Schizosaccharomyces pombe: one gene and its partners. Changing the gene in region 3 together with the main gene of any one other region gives a genetic interaction. Each region holds a gene or a part of one and is shown on either strand. Other genes may lie near its edges.

What was found.
Region 1: of rho1 (region 3) and sid2, extra expression of one rescues a mutant of the other (dosage rescue), as found in Schizosaccharomyces pombe (2 studies listed by BioGRID).
Region 2: of rho1 (region 3) and rga5, a mutation in one rescues a mutant of the other (synthetic rescue), as found in Schizosaccharomyces pombe (one study listed by BioGRID).
Region 4: of rho1 (region 3) and art1, extra expression of one rescues a mutant of the other (dosage rescue), as found in Schizosaccharomyces pombe (2 studies listed by BioGRID).

Annotation. Positions count from the first base shown.
Region 1 is NC_003424.3:219,875-228,159, forward strand, and holds sid2 (serine/threonine protein kinase (NDR family) Sid2), read right to left. Parts: upstream 4,080-8,285; 5' UTR 3,979-4,079; coding exon 2,155-3,978; 3' UTR 1,820-2,154; downstream 1-1,819. Other genes in the region: cfh1 (chitin synthase regulatory factor-like Chr3), read right to left, coding at 1-1,581; dnf2 (phospholipid-transporting ATPase), read right to left, coding at 4,522-8,285. UniProt on the Schizosaccharomyces pombe protein: Part of a signaling pathway. Required for initiation of medial ring constriction and septation.
Region 2 is NC_003423.3:2,482,693-2,490,090, forward strand, and holds rga5 (Rho-type GTPase-activating protein Rga5), read left to right. Parts: upstream 1-3,842; 5' UTR 3,843-4,114; coding exon 4,115-5,200; 3' UTR 5,201-5,517; downstream 5,518-7,398. Other genes in the region: PAK-like kinase Nak1, read right to left, coding at 1-945, 1,011-1,497, 1,549-1,628; SPOM_SPBC557.02C (uncharacterized protein), read right to left, coding at 5,633-6,244; pim1 (RCC1 family Ran GEF), read right to left, coding at 6,342-7,355. UniProt on the Schizosaccharomyces pombe protein: GTPase-activating protein for Rho1. Has a role in the negative regulation of (1-3)beta-D-glucan synthase activity and cell integrity.
Region 3 is NC_003424.3:4,220,367-4,227,994, forward strand, and holds rho1 (Rho family GTPase Rho1), read left to right. Parts: upstream 1-3,704; 5' UTR 3,705-3,813; coding exon 3,814-3,884; exon of another isoform or gene 3,885-3,956; intron 3,957-4,119; exon of another isoform or gene 4,120-4,215; coding exon 4,216-4,753; 3' UTR 4,754-5,458; downstream 5,459-7,628. Other genes in the region: plasma membrane TRP-like calcium ion channel Pkd2, read left to right, coding at 1-1,767; protein tam6, read right to left, coding at 2,282-2,527; ribonucleoside reductase large subunit Cdc22, read left to right, coding at 6,616-6,634, 6,951-7,628. UniProt on the Schizosaccharomyces pombe protein: Involved in the regulation of cell wall growth and actin cytoskeleton organization. Activates (1,3)-beta-D-glucan synthase.
Region 4 is NC_003423.3:2,362,074-2,369,697, reverse strand, and holds art1 (arrestin-related substrate adaptor for RhoGEF, Art1), read left to right. Parts: upstream 1-3,884; 5' UTR 3,885-3,967; coding exon 3,968-5,419; 3' UTR 5,420-5,883; downstream 5,884-7,624. Other genes in the region: pdc2 (topoisomerase II-associated deadenylation-dependent mRNA-decapping factor), read left to right, coding at 1-243, 282-452, 508-634; SUMO deconjugating enzyme Ulp1, read right to left, coding at 875-2,581; PPR repeat-containing protein Ppr3, read left to right, coding at 6,358-6,612, 6,695-7,624.

The DNA of each region.
Region 1 (8,285 bases), 4.0 Mb from region 3:
AGCGGGTGAAGAAGCATTACTGTTAGACATCATAGATATATTCCTTTCAAACTTGGAATTAGCAACCTTGGATGATACATTAGCAACCGATGTATTTTTGTGATTACCAATAGACTTATTACTTTGCTGTGGAATAGGGGAAAACGAAGGTGTCACAGCTAAGTTATGTGAAATCGGTGTGCTATCAGCACGCATTATCGGGGAAGAAACAGAAGGGAGAGGACGAATGTCAGAAACTAACCCATGGGTTGTGTGTACCGGAGGAATTGGCGATAAAGGACTTGTTTGACCGTGTATAGAAGTAGGCATTGGTTTAATTGCCTTAGGACGTGCAAGGTTTGTAGGATATGAAGGTAAATTATTAACAGTTGGGTTTGTGCGATTATTATCATAACCTTCGGGAGAGTTATTATTCGAGTTCCTCGAAACATTTCTACGATCAAATGTAGGAGCAGGAACCTCAACTGGAGAACGAGCTGGTAGCATTACCATTTGAGAATGTGGATAACGAGGTGGTTGTTGAAGTGTAAGCAAATCATCATTTCGAGGATTTTTCAAAGTTTCGGATGATTTTAAGTCATTAGAAACTGAAGGAAGCGAACGTTCATCGCTTTCTAACCCGAATGAATCTGTATTCGAGTCGGTTGATGAAAAGTGACTTTTTGAAGGGAGGTGTCCAGAGTTTTCATAAACTGGTCCCAAATGACGATGAGCAGGTTCTGCATCTGACGAAGCATTAGAAACTGTATTTGTGATGGAGTCACTTTCTGCTCCATCTTCTTCCTCCAAAGTTTCTATTCGAGAGTTACTCTTAAGCTGATTGTCTTCAAGTACAGTATCGTCATCCTTGTAATAGTTATCTAAGAAGTCATCAAACCCACCGTATGGTATGTAACTCATACGACGCTGTACACGACTTATAGAATTAACACGTGGAGGTGCCATATATTTTCTATGAGGATCCGGTTGTCCAATCTCATCCTTTCCATCATCTAAATTGGTCATTGGCGTTGGTCGCGGAATAGAAACCAAAAAATCTTCTTTCTGCTCATGATTTATTTGTATTGGGGCATCTTGCCGATCCAACTTTAAACTAGGTGAAGGCAAAATAGGAGAAGCCTGTCTCAAATTAGTGTTCAGCTTTAACCCACGGTTAACTACACGTTTGCTTGTAGGAGCAGGTGCAGCTGGAATTTTATACTGTGGCTGTGGCTCCGGCTTGACCGGTATGGTTGCACGCGGCAATTTGTCTTTGAAGGTATCTTCACTAACAACAGGCCGGGATATTTTTTTCTTGGAGAATTTCAATGCTGAAGGTGGAGTACCCATTGTAGCGCTCATTATACTAGCCCTGTTCGCGTCAATCCTTGAAGACAGGTCCAAAACATTCGTATACACTGGTTCATGGCTCAATGTCGGATATCTCGATGTAGGACGAAATTGAAGAGTAGGGGAGGATGAAGAAGCTGTGTTACCGCTTTTTAAAAAAGCTGGGGTACCCTCTGTTCTTTTTCCATTATTCGTTGCGAATACCAACTTTTCCTTCTCATACTTCCTCCGAGAGCTATGTGAATCTTTCATTAACAGATTAATTTACGAGTGAAATAAAGAGCAAAAGGTAGACGCTTTAGGAGGAAAGCAGTAAGAAACGAGGATAATGAGGTATCGCAGTTTGATGAATGTTACAGCTCTTCTGCTGTTGCCAACAAAACGAATATCTTACAGCTCACTAAACAACAAATAATACACGAAAACAAAAATTTTCCAAAATAGTAAAAATGGTTCAAGATATTAAATTGCAGATAGTGTCTATTTCCCTATCAAGTAAATGATTTACATAATTTATCTGGTAATTGCAAGTTCTTCTATATAAATGGCGAAAGCTGAATATTGACGAATAAAATAGTGGAAGATAAATAAAAATATAATATAATATAATGAAAAAGGATACTTCCAAATAAACATCATAAAATTAAAGTGATAACTTTCGCAAATTGTAATGTAAATGCCGTTCGAAAGTGAAATGCAATAGTAAAAGACAGTACTGTAAATGTCAAAACATCAAAAGCGAAGCTCAGTATCTTCGAAAATAGTTAATAACAGTAGATGTCTTATAAAAATACCATGAACAAGGGTCATTAAATTTCCCTTTGATTATAATAGAGTCCCGAAAGAAGGAGCAGAGAGGGGACTAGATAATGCGCTACTAGAGCTAGTAGGATGACTATTTTTTTGATGCCTAAAAGTGAAGCCGATAAAAGCATTGCGTTTAGGCTTATTAAATGTGTTAACCATATTAGCAATTGCAGCTTGTTTCTCATGAACTTCCTTATATTTAGACATATCATTTTCATTAGTGAAATCATCAAAATATCCTGCGTCAATCTCAGAATTAAGGTCGGGTACAAACGGAGGACGATATGCTGTACGAACATTTTTCCAATCAATCTTTGAGAAGTAAGGATGTTGCATGACTTGCTTAAGAGAACAAAAGCGATCCTTGGGATCAGTAATGCAGTGACATACAAAATCCCATGCATCATCTCTCCAGTTGAATTCCAAATCGCGGGGATCATCATAGTGAGGGCGTTGAAAACACTTGCGCCAATTCTTCAAGTTAGACCAGGTTTCATTAACATTGGAGCCAGAAAATGGAGGAAAACCAGAAAGACATTCATACATGATGCAGCCAAGAGACCAATAGTCTACAGAGTGGTTGTAGTTTTCACCTCGTAAAACCTCTGGGGCCATATAATCAGGAGAGCCAACTACTGAATGAGCGTATACAGGATCCTGAGATAAAAGAGTTCGAAACACTTGTCGCCTTTCCCTCATGCTCCTTTCGGGAACAACGACATTGTTGACTTCTTGAAGACGAATCTTCATACTTTCAATCTTCTTTTTGCTGATTATTCCAGAACTTAAACCAAAGTCCGTCAATTTAATATGGCCGCTAGCTCCAACCAAAAAGTTTTCTGGCTTAAGGTCACGATGGATGTAACCAAGTTGATGCAAAGCATCAATAGCTAGGAACATTTCTGTAGCATAAAACTTGGCATGATGATCCCTTAAAACACCACTGTTGCTAAGCAAAGTACGGAAATCACCACCAGGAACAAATTCCATAGCGAGATAAATGTTTGAAGTATCCTGAAAAGCATAAAGTAGACGAACTAACCATTCCGAGTTGGCTGTCGTAAGGATATCACGCTCAGTAAGAACATGCCTGATCTCATCCATTTTATGCAAAACCGATTTATTCATGATTTTCAAAGCAACAATCTCTTTGGTGTCACGCTTCCTAGCCAACCAAACAGAGCCATATCCACCTTGTCCGACTTGAGTGATGGTCTGGAAATCTCCGTGACTAATGCGTGTCCTCCTTTTCCTTAGATATACTCGTTCACGTCCATTGTATCGCTTCACTAGCTCGTCTCTTCGTGAATCAGGCTCTTTAAGCAACTGCTCTTCAAAAAGACGGGCTCTTTGCTTGCGGGTATAAAGATAATGAAGCTGCTCAAAGTAATGGTCTAAAAAGAACATTTGACAAATGGTTGCCATTCTCTTTACCTTAGGTTGGACCACTTTCTCCATTTCTTCAACTGACAAGTTCATAGATCCATTTTCCCATCTTGGTGAACCCGTTGAACTTCTATCTGACCAATGATTATTATCCTTGTAGCTCAACTCGCCAGATCTATCAAGACCACGCGGAATAGGGCTTGCAATCGGTAACTTACTAATGTGTTTTGAATGCATATGATTGTCAGGATAATTTTCCTTCGAAGATGCCACTGGGGAAAGCTTCATACTATTAAATTGATCCTCCAAATTCCTTTCTTTATCATTATTCGACAAGTTGCCGGGTTCAAAAAGACCATGTCGCTTCATATATGCATCAAATTTCTTATCTGCTTCAGAACTTAGCTGAAGTCCTAAATCACCTTCAACTGGTGACATATCATTAACACGATTCATTATTAGTTTTCTTTAAATATGTATCGTAAACATCCAACGTTTTGGTCCCCAAAAAATGCAAAACTCCTGTCAATAATAACCTTACGTGTTTTGTTTACGGCAGAGTACATTTCCATCGGAGTTAGGTATCAGCCATTTACCCTTAGCAACCAAAGTTTGATTACAGCAGTCGCTGGAAATTTCAAAACTTAAAAAACCAACCACCAAATTTACTACTTAGAACAAGATTGTTAAAAAGTCTGTTTTTATTATTTATCATACAAATGTAAACTAGATATAGTAAATTTATCTCGTTATTTTTAAAATGTACTGTGAATGCAAAATACATTTTAAATTTGATGCAATCTTTTGATTTCAGAAGAAAAATGTAAACGTTCATGTATTTTATTTAGTATGCAGAGATGTTTCTATAACATCATAATCATTATTCGATAATTCATCATTCTTTAGTATGAAAAGTTATGTTCTTAAGCATAGCGTAGAAATAGAATGGGTACACAGATTATCTTGATTAGATAATTCAGCTTATTAACTTGCCATTTTTTAAGGCCGTAACGGCTGTTCAGAAGAAGAAATGGAACCACGATGAGGCATGTATTCGCCTCTGTTAAGTATTTCATCAGAGAACACAGGAGAGCCCTCCAAGAAACTTGGAGTATATGACGGGGTAAAGCTTCTTGGCATACTTGATGTGAGTGTAAGCGAATTTGTGTCCAAACGTAAAGGTTCTTTCTTGGGTGTCGCCAAACTTGACGAAGATGCGTTGAAAGGGACCTGTAAAGTAGAAGATGCCCAATCTGGAGATTGTTCGGCATTCTCAATCTCCTCTTCTTCATCCAATTCATGAAGGCGTTTAGTGCGGTAACTTTCGCGAATGATATCCACATCATATGGCCAAAATAACTTTTGCGTTGTCATAAACAAAAACTTCGGGAAAAGACAACTTACAATCGTTCCACATAAAACAGCCCAAAAATTTGGAGTTCTGAATATACGCGAAGCAGATTTATAAAATTCATATGTATAAAGGCTTTGAGAGTAGACGCCAGTCCAAAACCAAAATGTCAAACAACTGAGCGCCCATAAACCAATTGAAAACACATCCCAATTTGATTGATTCAGAATAACATACGTGTCGACAACCATAATAGTTGGCGCAGCAACGTAAACACCTAAATCTTGTACAGCCATAGTATCACGACCATTCTGAGCAGCTGTGGTCACATTGTTAATCACAAGAAAAGAGAAAAAGAAACAGATTACAGACTGATAAAACCCATCAAGCATATATCCAATAAAGATTTTCCTGGCTGAATTTAATTGCAAAATACCACGCTTGTAAAGCTGAGGGATCCGAAGCGACAAATCAGCATTAACATCTTGATCATAGACACCCATGACAATGACAGGTAACGATGAAAAAATCAAGTTAAACAGCATAACATAAGTATAATCGAAAAGGTAATTTGCGTCGAAATTGTTGTAAATCTGATACCAGAATAAAGTAAATGTCCATACAACACTCTTGTAGAAAAAGTTGTTTACCATTTCAGCAACACGATTATAATCCCAACGGCCATGAACAAGAACCAGCTTGCTCAAAAATCGGAATTGACCGATTGCATAATCCGCAGACATAGCTGCAGCACGGCCTTCTTCACCAACAATACCAACACCAATATCAGCTTTTTGAATCATTGCAACATCATTCGCACCATCTCCAATGGCTAACGTCATTACTTCAAGGCTTTCGCGTACCAATTGAACAACATCTGCTTTTTGAGCCGGACTAACACGGCAACACAAGACAGCCTTGCATCTTTTACAAAGTAGCAGAAACTTGGTTCTCATTGGACCATCTAAAACTCGTTTAAGTACTGATCCATCAATAACTAACGCATGAGAGCCAGAGGGAGTGTCATGATCCTTCTTAGCAGCTTCAAGTTCTTCAACTGATCCAGACAAACCAAAATAACGATATAAGTAGTCAGCTAAAATAACTTCCAACTCTGGTGTTGACACTTCTTGGTCCACATCAAACTTAATCATGTCCATGCCAGCGTCCAATAAATTGCAAGAAAAACCAATATTAATAGCAGTCTCCATTTTGTCTCCGGTCAGAACCCACAATTTGATACCGGCTTGAGCCAATAATGCAATTGAATCAGGTACTCCTTCTTGTAATCGATCCTCAATAGCTGTTCCACCGAGCAAAGTAAGATGAGATTCAATCAAATCGGCAACTTCCTCTATTTGCTCCTCACGGTTTTCAATTGCAGATGCGGCGATGTCATACTTTTCTTTCCATTCGTAATATTCCTCTTCAGTAAGCTCTCTTTTTGCGATACAAAGTGTTCGTAAACCTTCCAATGCAAAAATTCTGAGATGCTCAGAAGTGGTTTTACGTAATTCAACTTGTTCATTTGGTTCCAAACGTTCGAAAATAATGCTATCAGCACCTTTGCAAATAAGCACATAACGGTTATCGGGTCCTTTAACGATCACACTCATTCTCTTCCTCGCTGAGCTGAATTCAATAGTATCCATCAATTTGAATCTTTGGGTTTCTCCAAGAGCACGAGTAACCATAATGTCTCTCCGCTGGTCCAAAAAAACAAAGCCAACGTCGCGGGCGGTACCCACGAGTGCAGCTTCATCTGGCGATTGTGCTTTATAGACAATCCGGTCACCAACTCTGTCTGCAACTACGCTATGACAAAGGGCCAATGCCAAGAAAAACTCATAGCATGCAAGTGACTGTTCTTCACCAGCTTTGCCAGCAAGGTCATGAACAAACTGCGACGAGATGAACGTGAGGTTATCATCCACAAGGTATTTGTTGTCGTGCATATTTCGCATTTGAGAAATCATTTGCATTCGGTCACGTTCAATGAAACTTTGCTTTTGAAGAGTCAATTCTTCAGTATCCTTTCCCTCGCGTTTTGCCATTCCCGCCATTGCTTCGGTAAATGCCTCACCATACGCAACTCCGTTGATCGTACATTTTTTAAATTCCATAACATTTTGAGTAAGAGTACCTGTTTTATCAGAAAAGATATATTCCACTTGTCCAAGATCGTCAGAAATATTCCAAGATTTTGGAGTACAAGCATACTTTAGCTTCTTATAATACATGTCTTTGTCGAAATATATAAAAATTGCCTGGATGGTCTTAACGATTTCAATTGAAATATAAAGCGAAATGGGCACCAAGTTTTGAAAAAGAATAACACCAGTGAAAAACGTGACGACACCATCTTTGGCAGGAGAACCACCAATGGAACCAAACTCAAAGTAATACGAGGAGCGAGAATGACCACGCCAGGCGATTCCTTCGACAACTGCGCAAACAAAACACATGGAGAAAAGGATAATGAAATTAAGATAAACATTCCAATTAAGATTTCTAGTAATGCGACTACGCTTTAATGGCGGAGCACCAGAGTTCAGCATAATCTTGGTATCATCGCCAGTAAATACGACAACTCCAATCACCCATTTTGTATTCCTAAGGACACAACCACGCAATAGCATTGAGTCCAGACTGATGGGCTCTGAAACAGTTTGGGAGGTATCAGAGCCACCTGCTTCAGAATGGACAAAGGACTTACATGCTCCATTATACTCATAAAGGTTAGCGTGTGGTGGTTCACTCTCTATCCAAAAACGACATCTCTCGCATGAGGCCTCGTCAACTACATTCTTTCCGCACGTTAGAGCGTGACGCATTTTTAAGTTGGTTTCACCATCAAGATTCTTGGTTTCAATGTAACAAATACCTTCAGGGTCGGATGAATTAATGATGACTATATCTGCGGGAATTTCATCATTATCCATAACTTTTACAAAATCACCTACACGGACATCCTTCCAGTATGTTTTTTTGAAATGGCACTCGCCAGTAGCTTCGGCTTCATAATCAATAATATCCATGGGACGCGATTGGAGAATAGTTGCAGTCCCATCTAAAGCACTTAAGGGGACTTTGCCCTTTGAATCTTCAAACGATCGTTTTGCCTCAAAAGACTCTCTGAAAATAGAATCATAACTAGGTCTTGATTCAGAACCTGCCATATCTTCCAAAGGTACAGCGTCATTCAAACGCTTTGCTCTCTTCTTTTCCTCCTGCTTTGCTAGAAATACGCGAAAAAGAGCGGAGATCCGTTTTTTGAATCGTCTAAAGTAGCTGATGTATTCAGTACGAATGTTTGGGTTTTGATAATGGCTTAAACGAAGGGTAGGGGTGTTATTTAAATGAATATCAAGCATGGTTCGGCGAAAATCTTCAATAGCGTCTTTAACAGCGG
Region 2 (7,398 bases), on a different chromosome or scaffold from region 3:
TGCGCCCATCGATATACTTCTAGATTGGAGGTCGAATGAGGATGGCATACGAAGACCCGGCTTCATTGGTGACATGGATATTCCTCGTTTTCCAAGAGAAGTTTTTTGACGTTGCACAACTCGAGGCAGGGGTCGTTTGATACTTTGATCCGATGAGGTTTTGGAATTTGAGCGTGTGCGACCTACAAACAAATCGTAATCTTCAGCTTGCTTAGTGTGTTTCGATTGAATGGTTGATTTTTTGGAGGATAGATTTGAGGAATCTAAGCTAGGTAATTCGATTTGAGAATAAGATACTTCACCTTTGGAATCCTCAGTAGAAGCTCCTTCAGCGTTACTGGGAGAATCATCATCCGAAATCTTTGAATCCTTAAAAAGTTGTAATAACGGATGGGAATCATTAGATGAAGGGGGTTCATGCACTGTGGAAGATTTTGGAATTACAGTTCCAGTTACAGTAGTGGAGGAAGTAGCAGCGGTAGTAGTGGAGGTGGAAGTGCCAGTGATGGATGAAACGTTACTTTGACCTTGTTTAATAGTGCCAAATTCCCAACCATCATCAGAAGCAGCGGTGTCGGAGGTTTCCTGATCAGGGTCGCTTCCATCATCGGCTTCTTCACCCAAGAGTAGCGTTTGGGGTATGCCGCCAGCAGCCTGCCAAGTGTCATAGCGTTTTACAACATTGGTAAGTTCAGAAATAGACATGCGAGAATATTGTTTGATAAATTTTGATTTCAAAAGTTCGGAAGAATCTAATCTCCTCTGAGGGACATCCTGCAAACAAGAGGCAATGAATTCTTTTAAAAGAGCACTAAAATTTCCATTGAGTCTAGGGGGTGCGGTGTGAGCGATTAGGTAAACGGCACGAAAAGGATCCTCTTTGGCATGAGGTGGAGATCCAGTAGCAATTTCATATGCAGTGATTCCGAGCGACCAAATGTCAGCCTAAACTTTGTTAATAATTTTGTGGAATAGGTAAAGGGCTATAAGTAATCAGCAACGAAACATACCATAACATTATATTCCTGACCATCTCGAATAACTTCTGGTGCCATCCAATAAGGCGTTCCAATAAACGTGATTCGCTTTCGGCGATTGATGTTTAGTTCGGCAGCAACGCCAAAGTCACATAGCTTGACATTTCCAGACATGGAAACTAGGATGTTGGCAGCTTTTATATCACGATGGATGATACCTGCATGATGAATAAATTTTAATGCCTGTAAGGTCTCTCTAAGGATCAAAGATATGCATGGTTCACTAATGGGACCAGCCTCCATCAAAGTACGCACGCTACCTCCATGACAATAATCCATTATAATCCATAAATTAGTACCTACCAAATAAGAGCCATGATACTTTATAATGTTTTCGACATCGGACTGTTTCAATTCACTAAGAACAGCGACTTCTTTCTGAATATCAGAGACTTCATCCTCATCGGTATCCAAATTAAGAATCTTGATGGCAACAGTCTCTTTCGTTAAATTGCAAATTCTTTAGAATGTTAGAAAATGTAGAAAAGAATCACTCGAATAATATTCATACCCTCTATAGACTGCGCCGTACGAACCGCGTCCCACCAATTCTAATTTTGTGTACGGCGAAGAAGCAGTGTTATTTTCCATTTCTAATAACTTTAGCTGCTTAGCAGATACATGAAGAATTTTAATTGAACAGGTTCAATTCAAACTCCTTCAATTCCCTTTCACTTTTTCTATACTGCTGGTGGTAGCGGGTACGAAGGAATTGAGTAGATATATATTGAAAAACTGTTTACTATAATACTCAATTTGTGCAATCCCTAAATAACAAACAACTTATTATACTATTTTTTTTCAATACCGAAGCTTTGCGAGGAAAAATACAGCAAATTTAGCAGGAGAAATGAGAATATCTTATCGAGTTTAGCGTAACGTAAAACTAACGATATCTTATCTGTATTTTTCTACTACGCTATGTCGTTAATCAGTATATAATCTGTAGTTATTTATATTTCCGTTCCGCAGCGGATATATATCCGTTCTTTGAGAGTAATTATCTTTAAGACTAAAATCCTTTAAAATAAATCGACCGAATTTTTGTTCCTCAGTTCAAATTGTAAACAATTTATACAGTTATAGTAGTACCCAATGTCTTGTTTATATCCAAGGATATTTAAAGCCCATATTCGTAAACCAACTTTACATAATGCATACAATCATATAAGATCCTTCTCACAATCTACATTTTACGGATTGCAAAATTTCCACTATCTAAGCTTAAGAGCTGAAAGCTTCTCACCTTACAAATATGCTGATTTTCGTAGTAAATAATAAAATGAGATGACATTACTTATTTACTCGGTCGATTTTTGAGAATTTGCGTAAAATACTAATTTGTATCTTAAGATAAAGATACTAAGTTGATTATGTAAATCCGAGTATGCATGGTTGTCTGGTGTGTTACGTTTAGTATGCTATCCATTAGCTTGTACACTGTTCTCCAAACCATTTCATTTTTTTTATGAAATTACCAATTGGTTTGTAATAAGTTGCTTTTTAGTTAATTTAACGAGCATTACTGTTGCTGCTCATCTTGCATGGCTATCGTTTCGAACCGATCATATAAAATATTCGACGAAACAATCGCATAATAGGAGCTAGTCAAAGAAATTTTAAATTTTTGTACAATTTCTTGAGGGCAGCTTAGTTTTGTTTGATGGGATGACAAATCCCGGTATTTACAGACTTTCAATTCAATGAATTGATTTGATGCGTCCAATACCCACATCGCTATTTTAAAAGTGTAGTAAATAAAAATAATGTAATGTATATTATTAATTTATTATTACATTGCCGAGTAAAAAGGGAGTAAAACGAGAAATCAATTGAAGGATTTGTATTTTCTTTATTCTTTCGTTTACTAATTTTTGTAGCGATGACCTATTTTAAAGGTTAGATAAAGTAAGTCAACACGCTGAGCTTAATTGAGATTATCGGTGCGAGCGATCGATTGTAACAATCAATCGCAACAATCAAATGATAATGTATTAAGCAAAAAAAGGAAACTTGAAAGAAATATAGAAATGAGCGACCCTTAGCTCTTCGACCTGGGTGAACAAGAGTCGTTGTACATAATAAAAATATAACAAAAAAGAAAACCCCAGACAAATCACAGTTTCAAGCATATTATACAATCATAGAAATTTGCATTACTAAAAGAATTTCTCTTAAAAGATTAATTATCTAAACATTCCTGTATATCGAAAATCGTAGTTGTATGTACAGAGAGACATGGTACTTTTATTTATCAATAAAAACAGTATACCAACAACCAAGGGGAGGGCATTCTTCATTGTCAAAACTCGTCAGTTTGACTTGTAAGAATTCGCAATTCAAATATTTCCTAGGAACATGACTTTCAACTCGTCCTTTAATGAGCCCACTTTGCACTGCTAATCTGGGATGGGTGGTATCAGCACACTTCCTACTGACACTAACGCTAATGTGCCATGATCGTAAAATTGCAAAATCTTCGCTATCGCAAGCAGAATGTTTGTTTTCTCCGAAGTGTTAAGGAATGTATCGAATCGTATGGTAAAATCATTCCATCATCCAAAGGTCAGTATACGATATTGGCACGCTAATGCGTACAGGACAATGCTAAGCCTCTCTCTTTACGAGTTGCTCGCTTGAACGACTTATAAATTCCTTTAAATTAGTAACCAAGCGAGTAGTTTGGTATTTTATTAGAGGATTTGCCTTCCCCGAGCATCCTCGGAAGTACCGGCTGTGAAACTGCGACACCCACCTTGCAATAGCTAACTAGTACTTACCAACCCCGTAGTGTGAACCTGCTTTGTACACAATACAACAAATAATTCTAAAAGCGCAATTTATTAAGTTAAGTTTACCCATCTAGTGGAGAACAGTGTTATTTGAGTTGAACAGAATTGTTATTCAATTTTAAAGAGTGTCAATTTATCGGTTACTTTTTTTTTACACATCTACAATTCTTTCATTGTATTTGGGTTTAAATCTTTTGTCTGTTATCTCATTTTCCTCATTGAATTCTTTTTTTTATTGTTTTCATTTGTTAAGTTTTTCAATTTTTATTACAATAGCCATTGTTCATGACTGTTGTCGTAGGAGTCCTACAGATTGACGATATGGGGAAAAAGTCATCATTCGCTAGCTGGTGGAAGCAATTGCGGGTTAAAAAGTCAGATGACAATAAATTGTTTGGTCTGAGCCTTACAAGGGCTTTGGAAGTATCGAAGGTCGCTATCTTTCTGACACGCCGAGACGGTGAGAAAGTATTTTATGGCTACATTCCCGCTGTCGTTGCTAAGTGCGGGTTTTTTCTTAAACAAAATGCTACCCAAGTAAAGGGAATTTTTCGCGTTAATGGTTCTTCCAAACGAATCCAAATTCTCCAAAAAGCTTTCAGTACAGGCCCGGATTATGGCCGAAGTTTTGATTGGGAAGGATACACAGTTCATGATGCTGCCAATGTTTTTCGGAGATTCATCAATCTAATGCCAGAGCATGTGATTCCTTTGGAGTATTATGAAAGGTTTCGTGAACCCATGACAATTCCCAATCTTACAGACAATGAGCGAGTGGAAATGTATCGTCGACGCATTGATGAATTACCGATTCCAAATCGCCAGCTTTTACTTTATTTACTGGACTTACTTTCCGTTTTTGCGATGAACTCGTCGAAGAACCTGATGACTGCTGATAATTTGGCTGCTATTTTCCAACCTGGAATTCTATCTCATCCTGATCACGAGGTTTACTCAAAAGATTATCAAATATCGCAAACGGCTCTTTTGTTCCTTATCAATCATCAAGGAAGCTTTATCAAAACCATTCCTTTGTCTTCACTACCTCCTCTGGTAGCTGCGCCTACTTCTCCAAATACTTCTTCTACTTTAATTACGCAATCTGCTGCACCTACTCCTATAGCCTCGACATCCATTAGGATTAATTCTTTTAATCCAAGAAATGGATCCATTAAGCGTTGGCGCTCTTTTAGTCGTCATTCTAGTGCCACTTATTCCAATAGTCCGAGTTCAAATTTTTCAAACATGAAAAGCTCCGAGGTGGATCCTGGTTCACCCCCAAGAATCAAATCTCGTTCGTATTCATTGTCTAGAAGCTCATCTATGAAGCTTTTCCATACACTTGATCGCCGGAGGGAAAATCGTATGTAATACTTTTAATTGTTTTTCTCTGTTTATCTAGTTTAATTGTCTTTGTCCTTGGTTGTATGGCGAAGAATCTTTTTGTACATATATACTTAGTTGTTACCGTCCGCTCTTTTAGTTTTATTGGGATTTGCATTTAGGCTGGATACCGCTACTGTCGTTTTATGTTTTTTTCTTTGTATTCAGCCATTTTCATTTTAGAAGTTCTACTTAACCATAGTAAGAACAAATTATCCAATTCGTTATTGTTTTTTGTAATTGTTTTTTGTTTTGGTAGATCAATATATTTATCTACATAGTAAATTTATCTGACAGCTTTCAGCTACTTTCGTAATTTTAAATTTTTATTAATTTGGTGTCCATATATCTGTACAAAGAAACTTTTATGAAAACAACAACGACATTGTAACCAGAAAGGATTTATCAATCTATACTTTATTAGGCTCCAAGGAGATCCTGTAACAATTGTAAGAGGCGCTTCTGATCTTCAGATAACTCTTCATCATTATTCACTGACAAAAACAATGGTATCTTCAGGTCTGCAAGGATTGCAAGCTGTTCTTTGTACATCCTGTTTGTCAATTGTACCACTTGTTCATCAAATTCTTGTAAAGCCCTATTGTCATCTAAAGTTTGAGCGGAATCATTGTTGGTCTGGTCATTAAGACAATTGGACGGTTGTTTCAATTTAGGGTCGGAGGAAAGCGGTTTCAGTATTTCTTGAAGCTTAGTTTTCGACTCAAAATGTTGAACTAGCCGCTGCCGTTCCAGAGACCAGTTGCGCTCTTGACGTTCCTGCATAGCCTTCATCTTTCTTAATTTTTGTAACTTTTCGGGATGGCGGGAATTTAGGGCAAAGATGTACCTCAAGGCAGCGGGATAGGTTTTAATTTTTTCTGCGTCCTCTATAGAATTGTTCAACTCAAAATCAGAGGGTTTCCGAGCCTTCGATAGAGGGATGGATGATTTGTCTACATTTTCAAGCTGATTACTCGTTACGTTGGAGGAGCTTTGAAGCTCTTGAAGCAAATCTGCGATTTTTTTATCCATTTGGAAAACTCATGAATTTTGTATGCATCAAACACATTGATATTCAAAATAATTTATCTAGCCCAAAAATAGTTAAAAGAAATTGAGAAATTAAGTACTAAGCAGTGGTGGAGCTGGGTTCGAGAACAGAATCCTTAGATTCAGATGTAGCGGTAGATGGTTCGCCGTTAGAGGTGACATCGGGCTTTGCATCAGTAACGGGAGAGTCATCCGTTTTGGAAGTTTCTTCGGTTTTTAATTTTTTTTCATTTTCGGGTTCGCTTTTTATGCCATTTGCAACTGGCTCTTCGGAAGCGTTGGGAATACCAGCAATGATGGAAAATTGACCACCTGCACCCGCTACACGGATCGCCACTTCCTTGATTGCCTTGGAACGAACTAATGTAGGAACAGCTACATCTTCATCATTATCACCTTGACCAACCTCGTAGTTTTCAGCAGATCCCCATGAATAAACCTTACCATCTGAGGTAACAGCCAAGTTGTGATGGGTACCACACACGACCTGTATAACATTAGTAAGTCCTGGGATTATAGTAGGGGTTGACAAGTAGTAATTGTTTCCCTTTTCATCTTTAACTACTGTTTCTGGAAGTGCATTATCCGGAATTCCTAATTGATGACGATCATCTCGACCCCAGGCTAACACTCTCCCATCTTCAAGTAAGGCTAGGGTATGATGTTCACCACCTGTAATAGACTTAACATTATATCCTTCTAAAGCATCAACGAGTGTAGGCTTTGTAATAACGGCGCCTTCTTCTTCATCTTCTACCTCTATTCCACATTGTCTGGTTATATTTAAGCCCCAAGCATAAACGCGTCCTTTGTTGTCAATCGCAAAAGAATGATACGATCCTGCTCCAACTGAAATAATATTTTTTAAAGCTAACGGTTGAGGAGTCAAGCCTTGAAGTCGACGACGTTCTAACATACGTCTACCCAGTTGAAACTGTTGACCATTACCCCATGTATATACTTTTCCTGTGGTAGTCAAGGCAATAATATGGTCCGTCCCTGTAGCTAATTGACAAATTTCGGGAAGTCGCATCTGCGTCGGTTCAGCTGTACGTTTTTGAGAATCGCTATACCCTAATACACCATCGGAACACTAGTATGTTAGCAAACGAAAAATGATAAATTTATAAAGCCAT
Region 3 (7,628 bases):
CTTGATAGTATTCCCTCCATTGCATACACAGTTCCGGATTTAGATGCTGTTGTGACTATTAATATTTATGAATCAGATACAAACACACAATTAGCTTGTGTTCGTACTACAGTGCAAAATGGTCGTTCTGTTTACCACAGAGCTGTTTACTGGGTTATGTGTATGGTAATCGGTATCCCACTTTTAATTTTCTTACTGATATCCCCTGTTCTTCAAACACCCGCACTTTGGGAAATCGTTGAAACGATGATTACCTTATTTCAGTTTGCTCAAATCCAGGCTTTGTATTCCATGATGGCTACTTCTCTTCCTGCTATCATTTACAGTTGGGGCCGTAATTTCATGTGGTCGATGGGTATTATCAGGATTGGCTTCATGCAAGATGTTTTTACATGGTACGTTAAATCAACTGGCGGCACGCCATCTACTCTTGTAGATTTGGGTATACATGCTAATGTCGCCCTCGCAAAACGTGGTATTGATTTGGGCTCTCTCGCCAAGCGTGCAACTACTACTGTCACCACTAGCACAAGTGATTCTATTACCCTGAGGGGAATCAAGCGTATTTCATATATGATGGGGATTGAAACGACGAATTTCTTTGCTACTGGGTTTTCCTTTTTTATTATATTGTTGTTCTTTTCATTACTAGTTGCTATGGCTTCTAGATTTATTGTTGAAATGGTGCTCCTTGCATCCAGAAATCAAGCTTTGAAAAAGCAACGTATCCGTCTTTATTGGAAATCTATATCCAAAGGATTTTTCTATCGTGTGATTTTTGTCGGATTCACTCAAATGAGTGTTTTGTCCATGTGGGAAATCTATACTCGTGATTCTTCCGCTTTGGCATTTTTATCAATGTACGTGATTGTGGACATGGCAGTTTTGCTCTGCTATGCATTTGTGCGGACAATTCAAATTATCCGCAAAACAGGACCTTATTCCCATCCTGACGTCTTGTACAACCTATATTCTGACACTCAACACTTGATGCGTTGGGGCTTTATGTACGTGCAATTAGACGTCCGTTTCTTTTACTTTACTTTCCCACTGTTGCTTATAACCTTGGTACGCTCAATGTTCATCGGTTTTGGTCAGGGCTCACCCAAAGTCCAGGGCTGTGCCATGTTTGGTATTAGCGTTGTCGTTTTTGCTCTTATGGTGATTCTCCGACCTTATGCCACTAAACACATGAATACTTTGCATATCGGTGTTGCTTTAATGAATTTGATAAGTGGTTCTTTTATTTTAGTGATGTGTCAAGCTTTTTATGTGGAGGAATTAGCTCGTCAAGTTATTGGCATTATATTTTTTGCATTGAACGCTATTACAATGCTTCTTTTGATCCTGGGTATATTTATACGTACACTTATCGTCCTGTTCCGTAAATCAGGACATGGTACTTATTACCGTATCCTCGATGACCAAAGCGAGAAGGCTACCTCGTATAACAAATCTATTAAGGATATGAGCTCTTCCGACATGGCCTTCTCTGATCCGGCTTACTCTGGAACTACGTTGAGAAGCTCCGTTGACCTTAATACACCAGAATATCCGTTTTCGAATCGTAATGATTCAGACAGTACGTTCACAAATAACAAATATGTTTCCCCTTGGGACGCTATCGAAGAAGCTTCGTATGCCAACCTTCGTGGAAATACTGACGTCGAACAACCATTTATGGAATCAGATTATACCCGCATCTCTGAAAATAATAACAACGCTGAACGTCGACGCAAACCATTACCTAACAATGCTTTTCGTTAAACGTGGATGGAAAATGTTGTGTCGTATTACATATATATTACATTCCATCTACCTTACACATTCTTTCATTATTATACAATTGTTGTCTCTGAGATTTTTTTAAACTATAATTTTCTACAAAGTTTGGGGTAAAAGACCTTTAAAACAATTCACACAAGCATTCTTACAATGAACTCGACGAGGAGGTTCAATAAGCAATCAATGTCTAAATCTTATTTTTAGACAAAAGTCAACTATTTAGTGTATTCGCATCCTTTTTTTTATTTATGGTTCTTTTTTTAATTATATTTCAGAATTTTCCCTTCATTTCTGCTTCTTTTCTTTTATTCCATAATTGTTATAGTGTATAGGTTTAGTTACCATTTAAGCATATTTGTTGGATGTGCATCAGAAAGCAAAAAAACTTCACCCGTTTGATTAAAATGCAATTTAGTAAAAAACATTTACTTCTGATTCAAGTTACTTCTTCACGTCTTAAGATAACTGATAATAGAAAACGACGTTTATTAACATTTTATTGAAACAATCTATAGACACCGGTAAGAATAAATCCATAAGCCATTCCCAAAATACCGAATCGTTTAAGCTTGTAATTGGGTGTATTCAAAGGAATTCTAGATTGCGAATAGGCATATATTCCTAGACCTGTGAAAGCGCCTGCGCCCACCAAGCGGCATGGCAAGCAATCGTACTGTTCAAACCTTGGATCGTCTAAATCGACGGGTTTGGGAGTTTGTTGGAAACTTGATGATGGCATCATCGAAAGCTATCAGTTTAATTTATAAACTATAAAAAAAAAGTAACCGCGTAAATATATATGTGTATAATTAAGAGGCCACACAGCTTTCAACCACTTTCACTTTATAAACAAGATTAAAGCACTAAAAGGTAAAGTTTACTCAACCCGCTTTTTCTTTTCTTGTCAACTACAAAATGAAATGTCAGCGATCAATAATACGGTATCCAATTTGATAGATGTTCAATAATAACGACTCAGGACTTTTTTCTCTTTCAATTTGTGGGAAATCTATAGGGCGCGCTGTTCAAACTGTTTAATATATTGGTCTTATGTTCTCCAGTACTGAAATGAATCAATGGCAAAAGTTAAAAGAGACAAAGTAGTGAGTTAAGAGCTAAGTTATAGATCTACTGAAACCGTCTGTTTTATTTTAACTATGAAGAAGAATAAAAGAGGCTAAAGTTACATTTCATTTTTGTATATTTGTAGATCTGCTACCGGATCAATATTTTTTTGGGCGATATAATTTTAGTAAAATTAAAGTAGGATTTTATTGATCTCGAGAAATAAGAGAGCAAACAAAACGACGATAGAAAGAAAGAGCATCGTAATATTGCTTTATTACTTCAATCTGACATGTAAAATTATTTTTCGGCACCAAAAATTGCCGCTTTTTGAATTTAGGAATTCATCTCACATTTGCATTTTACAAATAGAATGCTGTTTAATTTTATGAGTATACAATTATAATTATAGCTATTTATACGAAGCTTTGCTTCTTTATGTCTCTTCCAAAAGTTTCTATATTCCTGCTATGTTTATTATTTATAAAATACTGAAATAAAGTGTGTACGTTAAAATAGGATAAGCGGATTAAATGCGTTCCGTTATCTTCGAATATTATGACTAAACTGAATACGTTAACGAAATTTTTCCGCTGGTTTCTGCTTTTTTTGGCGTTTGTGATTCAAACAAAAAAACGTCTGTTGACATCAAGTCGGAGTGGAGACAATCTTTTTGTAATAAAACTGTTTTAATTGCACTTTACACTCTGTACAGGCTCAGCCTCGTCCATACATACTCAAAGGGTTCATCTATAAGAGCGCTAGGGCAAAGTAACGAGATTTAGTGAAGTGTAGTAGCGTCTCCTTCTTTCCTTTCGTTGTTACATGAGCCGCTGACAGCCTAGTAAATAGCTAACCACTGCCACATCGAAGGAAAGAGCGGTGTCAGAATTTGAGTCGAAAAACGTTTATTTACGTCGAAATTTTTCTGTCTAGAGCAGGAGAAAGTAAACAAATCTAGGGATGGCGACAGAACTTCGCAGAAAGCTCGTTATTGTGGGAGATGGTGCATGTGGTAAAACATGCTTATTAATGTAAGTAAAAATGGTGCAAGCGTCGGAAAGGTAGTAGAAGGGTAAAGTAGTTGCTTGGGCCTGTTTTAAATTGGCAAGGGTTTACATCTCTTGCTTAGCATGGCTGGAGAAGAAAATTATTTCCGTAAGCATGTTCATTGCCTCAAGAAAATAATGAAAGAATCCCCATAGAAATGAGACTTAGATGGGGTTTAGATTACATTTAATAAATGTTCCGAGGATTTAATTTGCACTCCGTACCCTGTATTTCTACTTACTCTTTGCTTGCTTATCTGCAATGTTTCACGAGTCTGTGTCATTGTTATACAACTTCTAACATTTTTCTTTATAGTGTATTTTCTAAAGGAACCTTTCCCGAGGTCTATGTTCCCACTGTTTTTGAAAATTATGTAGCTGATGTTGAGGTTGATGGACGCCACGTTGAGTTGGCTCTTTGGGATACGGCTGGACAAGAAGATTACGACCGTCTACGTCCCTTGTCATATCCTGACTCACATGTTATCCTTATTTGCTTTGCTGTTGATTCTCCCGATTCTCTTGACAATGTTCAAGAAAAATGGATTTCCGAGGTTCTCCATTTCTGTTCCAGTCTTCCTATTTTGCTTGTCGCTTGCAAGGCTGATCTCCGTAACGACCCAAAAATTATTGAGGAGTTATCCAAGACTAATCAGCATCCCGTCACCACAGAAGAAGGTCAAGCAGTAGCTCAGAAGATTGGTGCTTACAAATACCTTGAGTGTTCTGCCAAGACGAATGAAGGTGTTCGTGAGGTTTTTGAATCAGCCACTCGTGCTGCTATGCTCAAACACAAGCCCAAAGTGAAGCCCTCTAGTGGAACTAAGAAGAAGAAGCGTTGTATCTTGTTGTAAACAGCTTGTTTCCAAATTTTTTAACTTAGAGAATTTATCTTTTCTGTTTTTATACATCTCTTCAGTCGAAGCACATTCAACAAGTTTCCGTATTTTTTCGACTTATGTTGATTTTTATTTCACCTTCACCTTGGTGGGAGTTTTGCATTGTGTGGCCTATCATGTTACATAGTCATTATATCCTCTCATTCTTTCCTTTTTACTTACCTCAAGTCGTGCCATTTAGTCAGCTTGGCAATGATTTAAGCGCATTTCATATAGCTGTTCTACCATTTCCCCTCACTGTTCTGCAACGTATAGGCACCTGCAAGGAGTATGCGTCTTGTTTTCAGTCTTTGCTTACTTTGCTATACTCTTCGCTATTAGTTTGAAGAAAATTTCCCTTATTGCCTTGTTATTGCATGGTTTTATTTTTCCTATAATACCTTGTTTCTTTTGTTAAGGATTGCCATCATTATTATCCTTTCTACCTAGTCAAAGGACTTGGTAAATTTTTATAAATCGGTAATTTAAAGAATATACACCTCGATTGAAACTCGATCAAAACCCGAATATTTTATAAGCTTTCTCACAGCACGTAATTGCTTATTATCGTGGAACTTTAGCTGGGTCTCCAATTTTGCACTAGAATTATTGTAGAAAATTGAAGCGACATTATCTCTGTTGATAACCTTGCTGGTATACAGGCGCTTGGTATTTTTATACACGTTGATAGTCGAAGTAGCAGATAGCCGTAGTTGATGGTTTAAACATTTTGTATTTTGCGGAAATTTGCACACTGTTTATATCTCATTCTCTTTACGTCAAGCATACCAATGTTTGCAATTTCATGTTTTGAAGGTGACCGTTGTTATTCTATCTATGCATTTGTATTACCATTTGATTTTCACTCTGTCTACAGGCAAGATTATCAGATGAAGATATAAGCATTGTTGACTTTACCTAAAAAAAAGGATAATTGCGAGGGAGCAAATAGTGAATTAAAGGGAAAAGAACAAAGTTTTTGTAGCTACTAAAAGCTGTTTGTCTATCTCTATGTGTACCTTTTATAGTGCTTATAAGTAAAATGCAGAGTCGAAATCTTCATGCTTTAATGTAAAGCATTAGTAAGGTTACATATTACAACAGAAATGGGAATCAAAATCTTAAATCTAAAAGTTGAGAGGTCTTAACAAAAAAGCTAACTCAACTTAGCTTTACAATTTATAAATCAAGGAAACAATACTTTATCAATTGTATGTTATGATCTTCTCCAACAGGTAATTGACAACATCAAAAAGTAATATAAAGAACAAGGGGAAATTGATATCTAGATATATTAGAGAAATTAGTAGTTCAATCTCATAGAGCAGGTTGGTAGTCGGGTTGGACCGCGTGTTTAATTTATGTAAACAGTCGCGTCGCGTTGCAATTGAGACGCGTAAATAAATATTTAATTTATTACATTCAGTCGTAAACAGAGTATTTATAAACACTTTTTTTATGTTTAATAAAAGATAAATGTAACAGTTGAATGTATTGTATCAGGTCAGACCACTTCAACATGTTTAATCGCGTTTTTTTAAAAAAATATTTTTTTAATTTTTAAAAGTCGGACTTATTTTAGCGGAACTTTGATGTTCAGAAGTGAAAAAGATAAATCTATTTAGCAAGTCTTAATTAACGTCTTTTAGATATAGTAGAGCTACAAAAATGATCCGGTTTCCACTCTTAGCTTTATTTATTTACATTGATCAACATGACTTAAAGTTCGGATGACGCGACGCGGCATCACGTTATATTAGCGTGACGCGTCTGAACGCGTTTTTCATTTACTATAAATATTCCCGGTATTTACCACCTTACAAACTAGAACAAACACGATGTTTGTATACAAAAGAGGTATGAAACAGGAAATAAAATACAGTTAGAAGATTAGTAGAAATTTTGTTACAACGTTGCCGTTTCGAAAAATGTCGTGATTTTACTGGGGAGTAAATGTTTAAAGAAACTGAGATTTTTCTATTTGTTTAAGCGTGTCATTCAGTATTCACTGTTTGTTGTGTGCAGAGATGTTTAAGCAAATGTTCTTTTAGCCGTTTGCTCTACTTCCAAGTGTTCGGTTGATTGCTGACAGATTCGTTGCTGGTGGCGTTGTATTCAAAATTGACTGACTGTTGACATTGAATCGAAAAGCAATAATGTACTAACTGTATAGACGGACGTCAAGAGAAAGTGGCCTTTGACAAAATCACTGCTCGTGTTTCGAGGCTTTGTTATGGCCTTGATTCCGATCATGTTGATCCCGTCGAAATCACTCAAAAAGTCATTTCTGGTGTGTATCCCGGTGTTACCACTATTGAATTGGATAATTTAGCTGCTGAAACTGCCGCGACTATGACTACAAAGCATCCTGATTATGCTATTTTGGCTGCTAGAATTGCTGTTTCCAACTTGCATAAGCAAACCGAGAAGGTGTTTTCAACTGTCGTTCAACAGCTTCATGACTATGTAAATCCCAAAACAGACAAGCCTGCCCCCATGATCTCTGACAAAATCTACGATATCGTAATGAAACACAAGGACGAATTAGATAGTGCTATCATATACGATCGTGATTTCACTTACAATTTCTTTGGCTTCAAGACTTTAGAGCGTTCTTATTTATTGCGTATCGACGGCAAAGTTGCTGAGCGCCCTCAGCATATGATTATGCGTGTCGCCGTTGGTATCCACGGTGAGGACATTGAAGCTGCTATTGAAACATACAATTTGATGTCTCAACGCTACTTTACCCATGCTTCACCAACTCTTTTCAATGCCGGTACTCCTCGTCCCCAACTCTCTTCTTGTTTCCTCGTTACGATGAAAGACGACTCTATTGAAGGAATCTACG
Region 4 (7,624 bases), on a different chromosome or scaffold from region 3:
GCCTTTGGACGTTGTTTCCGAAATGAGTTCTTTCACGCAGTTCATCATCCCTCCATTGCTCACTATTGTTAATGAACTTGATTTGGAAACTATAAATAACTTATTTTCTCAACTTCTCAATCGCACTAATGCTGTTTATTTAATACAGACGAAGATTGGTTTGTCGTTCCTTACTCTATTCATTAGTCGCGCAGAAATTTTAAAGCAATCTGGCACTGTAAATCAAAATGAAAAAGAAGAATGGTACGTTATACATGTATTTACAGCATCTAACTATTTAGGGAAAATACATTCAATGTTATGTTTAATCGCGTAAAAGGTCATTTCTCGACGGTATTCCCACCACCTAACGCTCGAGCTTATGCTGATGAATCTTATCCATGGGAATTCTTAGCAGCTTGTGCTACTGCTGCTAGCTCTGAACAACATTTTACATTGGTTTCTGAAACTAGGTACGTTAAAATATGTCTAGTCGAGTTTTTGTACTAACAAATATGTAAAAAATAGGGACAGAGTACTTGATAACATCATTACTAGCAAACGGGCACCTTCTGAAATTGCTGTTGTGCGCATCAGCAATGTTAATTTGTTTTTAAATGCAATGGGGCTCGACGCTCGTCAGCTCAGCGCTTAAGTTTGTTTATAAGATATGCGGGTATTTTTTTTTTCAAAAGCTATATTTGCTGAGATTCCTGGATTCAGATTTATTAATTAGAGTATTCCCTGCTACTTAAAAAATGCATACGCTCTAATATAGATTTAAGTAAATTATGTCCTTTTTGAAAACGCTGAATATGAAATAAAATGTATTGAACGAGAAAGAAATTAATATAAAAAACGATAAGTATATAGACAAAAAGTTTATAGCACATATTTAATAGATTTGTGCATCAATAATACTAGCTGCCATTTTGATTCGTAGTTCAGGCATATCATTTTGACTAAACTGAACAGGAACATTTCTAGATACACATTCAGCAGTTTTACAAGCAAAAACTCCACAATCATGTCCATTTCGTTGTCTTGGAGAATTGTCATCCATAAAATTTTCCCAATCTGACACGTCGACGGCACCTTTTGTTTCTGCAATATAATAGTCGCGCAACAAATCAAAAACTTTACCAGGGCTTCCGGCCAGCGAGTCCCAGTATTCAAATCGTTTCTTCGATTTGTTAATAACAGCCATACACCAGTGGACATCCAGATGTACTGGTATAAATACAGCATCCATATCTGCAATATTAACGCGTGCCTTTTTGGCCCATCTTCGAACACCCGCGTATCCACGGCGCTGCAAAGATGTATAAAAAAAAGTATTAAACCCATGTACCCGAGGTAAGGATGAATCAATTTTAGAGCGTTCCGAAATCAAATTCATGTAAAAATTAATTACCTCGTCATTTAACCATTGTCTATTCCGCAGAGTATGCAAGTCTTTAAGCGTGATTGGAATATTAAATTTGGTGATGATGGGTTCAGAAGAGGAAACAGAATTGCTTTGGTTTAAATATTTCAGTGCACGCTTTCGAGCATTATCAGGAAACTCAAGTTCCGGAATGAACTTGGGGCGAGTGGGGGGTGGAGATATTTCCAAACCTTTTAATTGTAAAAAGTCAACTTCGTTCCAATCTTGAAAAGATTCTGTTTGCTTTTCTTTCAAATCTCGAATTAGCAACAGTAATGATTTTTCATTTTGGATATCAGAAGTAACGATATTCCGCGCTGGTTGCTGATCAGATTGAACGAACCTAAAAGAGGCTTTCCGAGACGTTGAATCATGAGGACTTTTCTTTCTTAACGTAGCCGTAAAAGGAAGGTGTTTATATCTGGCGTGTTCGCTAACAACATCTAGCTGCTTGTCCGGTGTAACAATGTCAGAGTTTGGATTTGGAGAGGAGTTCGTAAAGTGCAGAGGAGAAGAAGAGAAAGGTGTAGGATTAAAAGAGTTTATTTCGTCAGCCTCAACGGAATTACCGTGGGATAATGTCGATGAAGTTGTTTCCTTAAAAACCGCAAGCTGTAACCGATTACTAACAGATAAATTTTTGGAAGACCGATGAGGTCGGGGGAAGTATCTCGAACGAGACACACGAAAGCTTGATGGAGATAATGCTTCGTCATGGATGTTTTGAGAATGCGTGTCAGAGGCAGGGGAAAATAGATTTTGAAGAGCAATGGGATCCAAAAATTTTTCATCCTTACTAGAATTTGTATATGAATGAGAAACGGTAGGTTTACTATTTCTGTCAAGAGTATTGTGAGAAGACATATCAGATTCGACCGTCACGTAACCACGTTCAGTCTTGGAATTTATGTGAGAAAACCGAGATTCAGGGGCTTTAGTAGAAGGCTCTAGTTTTGAATTTGTACTATTACTATTAGATGGTATCGCCTCGCCAGCGATGCGATCCAATTCAGAAATGGGAGTTTTTGTCAAAAAAAGTTTTGCATAAGTAACTGTACGAGAACAAATATTAACAAACGTGTTCAAAAATGTCTTTTTACGTTTCCTTTGATACTCTTCATATGTAATACAATCATCCTGACGCGTCCTTTTTGACGCATTGCGTTTTCCTATCATTCACGAGTGAATTGTAAAGGGTGAATCGCGAGAGGCTGTGACACACAACAACCTGGAAGGATGAGCGCGTTCTTGCTTACGTTGTGAAAATACCTCGTTATACGAGTATTGCGGTATTTACTGTAAACAAACTACTTTTTGTGTTTATATTACAATGTTTGGCTTTCGAGCCGCTAGCTTTGCTTGTAAGATTTTAAATTATGTTGCTTAACATGTAAGTGTCCGTTTATCTTTAGGGCCTACTGTGTTTGATTTCATTACACTAAAATCCTACTTCAATGTGGGCTATCACTACTTTTAGCCGTGAGAAGCTTACAAGTATATTAATGTAAATTAAATATCATATTGCTTTTATAAAATATACATTCATGACAGTACACTGTGTTACTCTTTTAAGCGTTTAATAAGTAAGTGGTAGCGTATCGCTACTAGTAAATTGTTTTAAGTTCTGATATATGCCCTGAAAATGAAAAGATAAATCGGAAAATGTGAGTTAGTTTTATACAAACCATTTAACACTTCCTGAAGGGATCTTTGAATGAACAGAAAGCCCTATATTCAGGTTATCCTTCAAACAATCATTATTTCCTAGATAGAAAAGAGTCGTACATCAGCAATGAATTTCCTCAATTATCGCCGGGGTTTTTTATCATACTACGGCTCATATAACTATCAAAAATTAGCATTACCAGTTGCTCTTGATTCTTGTTTTTCTCGATTTTGAATTTTTTGTTATGCATTGTCTGTTAACTATGCGTGAAATATCTGTTCTTTTAGAGATTCGTTTGATTTTTAGTAAAATAGTATTTACTTGCTTTATTTCCCTTTCTTCTGCTGCTCAATAATCTGATATCTTGCTATATTGTTTTCGTTTGAATTCAGTCTCTCTTCTATATTTCGTATATGTATGTTGCGATCAATCGTGTGTTATGGTTTCAAAAATTCAAAAATTCAAAAAAAAAGCCTTCTGCTGTAAGAATAAACATATTTTAGGCTTTCGTAAGTGAATTTTAAGTTGAAAATACCAATTTCAAAATTAGGCTATTAAAGTCATTTTAGTTTTTACTATTGTAATCAAAATGGAACTTTTTTACAACAGATACTAGCTTTAGATGCTTGGCTATCAATTGTAGGCTTTTGATTTTAATTCTATGGAATGGAAACAAAAGTACATTTTTTGGCCTAAAATTAGATTTTTATATAATAAAATATTATTAATTTCATTGCTATAAAAAGTCACTTAGCAGTGTTTAAGCGAGTGCTTAAAAGATTTTATTTAGCTATCTAGATCTGACATTGCTGCACTGAACCAACCTGTCTACCATTTGGTAGATTCAACTTCCCATAACCAGCACCAAGCCAGAGGAACTCACTAAATGTAAGAGCATGACATCCCCGTGTACGCTAATACGGCAATTTTCTCCTTTGGAGATACGTCCGTTACCACATTTGGATTTCCAAGCTGGATTTAATGGGATACCAACTTCAGCTCCAAGGTTGGTTGGTATCGTCCAAGTTCGAAGTAAAGAAATTCACCAACCTTTGGCTTTGGTTCAAATAACGTTAGAATTATGGAAAATTGAATCAGTGGTAATACCATCCTTGGGTATAAGTAATCACTTATCAGATAATAAGTGTCTGGCAAGGCAGGTTTTGTTTCCACTTCATTCCGAGCATCCTGAAAATAACATACCTCCTAATGATAATAATTATTCTATCAGCGATTTGTCTATCAAATCACCTCCACCCTCCCTTACTAGCGATTGGATAGTAGATTCTTATGCGTCTGATCAGGATAATCCTTCTGTTCATACTCATAACCGTACTACTCCACCTATCCCTCCACCTCATCTTCCTAATGCCTCTGGATCTTCGGTATATCAACCTCCTTACACTCCGTTTAGATCAGTATCCACCACATCTTCCTCTAATGACACATCTATCACTCCTTTTGGTGACCAAACTCCTATACTCTCTTCTTCTTCAGATCCTTACGCTACTCATAGGGTATGGTCAATGGACCTTCCCTTTGAAATCCCGTTTCCCGAAAATTCAGAAATTCCATCGACTTTTGAATTGAATCGGTCTGGTACAATATGCTCCACGAAATATGAACTACGTGCTCACATGAGTTTACTAGGGGTACCGGATATTACTACCACTGTACCAGTGTCACTCAGCAGGTATGATAATCTATCTTCTTGGGGGATGTATAATTCCCCTACTAATATTCGGCAAGTGAGTAGCGATGGTCGTGTTGTAGTAGAGGTATCAATACCCAAACTGTGTATTGGACCTTCGGATCTCGTCTCCGTCTTCGTTTCCATCATGCCTAATAATGGTTCTAAAATACGAGTACAGCAACTTTCTCTTTCCTTGGTTGAATACATCACGTTCATACATCCCTCTTCTTCAAGCCCAATAGTTCGTAAAAAGAAAGTATTACGTTACGAAGAAGATTTGGATGATATGAAACTTACATCGGAAGGTTTATCGAAAAGCCTTTCTAAACCTTTCCCCGACATTGATTTTGAAGATGCAAATATCACTGGATTCACGACCACCTCTGATCTTTACTCTGTACAATACATGCTAGTCATCAAAGTACAATTATATCGTGCTAGAAACATTGAAATAACAAACCCAATTATTGTTTCCCCAGTGGAACGATCACGAAGTCAAGCCTTACTTAATGAAATTCAAACCCGAGTCCTTGACGTTCGCCAAAGCCACGGAGGCGTTGTCCTCGAAGAAAACGTTAGGATTGTGCGAGCTTCAGATTTTTCCAAAAATAATATGTTTGCTTATTTGAATGATGACATTGTCCTGTTATCTTAGGAAGTTACATTTTTCAAGCTCAATCTGTGCTTTACTACAAATGTAAATCCCGATATTGTTGATCATAAGCCTTACCTCTGTATTTCCCTGTGTTTTTCGATATTTGCAAGCCTTTGGTTTGCAATTAAATACCCACTTTGTTTATTTATTTGTCCCTCGTTTTTTTGTTTGGTTTCAAAAGCTATGAGTAAAAATAATGGTCTTCTTGTTTTTGTTTTGTTTTAAAAAGTATTCCTGTTCTTCGACATCAAATCAATTTCTATTGAATATGTCTTCATTGTTTTATTTATTCACTAGATTTAGCAAGTGGGACTTTTGGTCACTATTTGGTTGCTTTTTTGTACAACTGACTATTTATTTTAAATTGTGTCAACAGTTTAAATCTCACTTTATTCAGAGTAGGTTTTAGTTTAATAAAAACAGCTTTAAACCTGCTTATATAATGTACTACTTTCCTTTTTTATGTGGTTTGAATATCACATCGGCTGCACTTATGTCGGCGTTTCCACTTTCATGTATGTGGCTTTGAAAGTAAAGATGTAGTAAGCATTTAAATCTGAGTAAGGCTTAATATATATAACGATTGCATTTTGTTATCTAATAGCCCAGTATACGGTTACACTCTTAAATCAGTTACAATTTTATTAGATATTAAGCTCATTGTGAGTAAAATTTTTCCACACCTCTTCCTTAAGTTTGTATAATCCATTCTTATAGTAGTATAACCAGAAGTAAAAGTTTAAAATATTAGCAATTAAATTTCTTTTGAGGAATGAAAATACGAGATCATTATCAAAGCGTTTAATACCCACTTAACTTTCCATCCACAAAATATACGTTTCAATCCAGGTATTAATATCTATATATTATTGACTACTTTATCAGGAAAAAAGATCAAACATCTTTAATTTTTGAGATTTCAGAAGCTACTGTACCTTATGCTAAACAAATGTTCTGGCTCTTTAACACTTTTAGCTGTTAGAAGATTTTGTGGTCCTTGCCGACGTTTACATTATCATAAAGATAACCCTAATAACATTAATATTGCTAAAAATCTCCTGAACAATAATATACAAGCTAGATGCTCAACAAATGAGGCATCTTGGAAGTTGGCACAGAAAGAATTAGATCTGAAAATACGTGAATACGAACAAAAGTTAAAGGATGTTAAGCTAAATGACATAAACAAAAAGGTAAAATATTTATTAAATAAAGGGTTTGAGTACAAAATAACACTGCTAAAAGATACTGTCTTGTTTACTAACGTTAGCATAGTCTCCCCTTAACATTCCTGATGAAGTTTGGACTAAATTTATATCAGAAGTTAACTCTTATGATAAGGAAAAAGAAAATCATTTATCTACAGGTAACCACGAATTGAGGAGAACAACTCCATTGAAAATTGGACCACTTCTACTTACGAGAATCGGGCTATTGAAATCTAAGAACACAGCCAGCAATAATTATTCAGTCGATCATATTGTTTCAAATCTAGCTAATGACAATACGTTGTTAAATCGTCAGGTTTCTACCGAAGAATGGAACAGTCATCTTCGCCATCTCTTAAACATTCCTAAATGCTTTTTAGGGGTTGATATTGTAGAAATAGTCAACTTTTTTAACTATCTTCCTCAAACTGTTATTTCAAAAAGTTCCCTAGAAATTTGGAAAGCTGTTGAAGAAAGTGGTATGAAAGTTATGCCTGATTTGCTTGTCTTGCTTATGGAATCCACCAACGCATCTGGCGATTTCCGTAAGACTGTCCAATTGTATCATTTGTATCAAAAATCAAATGCTCCTCCGAATGGTTTGGTGTATCAATCATATGCTATTGCACTTTCTTCCCTTGGTAAACACAAGGATTTAGTTGCACTCTATTCAGAACAAAAATCAGTCTCAATCACCCCATCAAAGGATTTCTTAAATGCCTGTATCAAGGCATTTTCTCGAACCAAAGAATTTACAAAGGCGTGGGAAGTTTTCAATTTTATGAAATTTACAGCAACTAGCATCTCTCCGTCGGCTGAAACATACGGTCTTATGATTCAAATATGTTCTTCTCAGTATAATCCAGAAAAGGCACTTGACTTATACAATGAGATGAAATTAAGACCAATTGATCCATTAACCCCTACAACGTTCGTTATTAATAATTTAATTCATGCTTTAGCTACCGATGTTCGTTTTCAAACAGTCGCTTTTTCA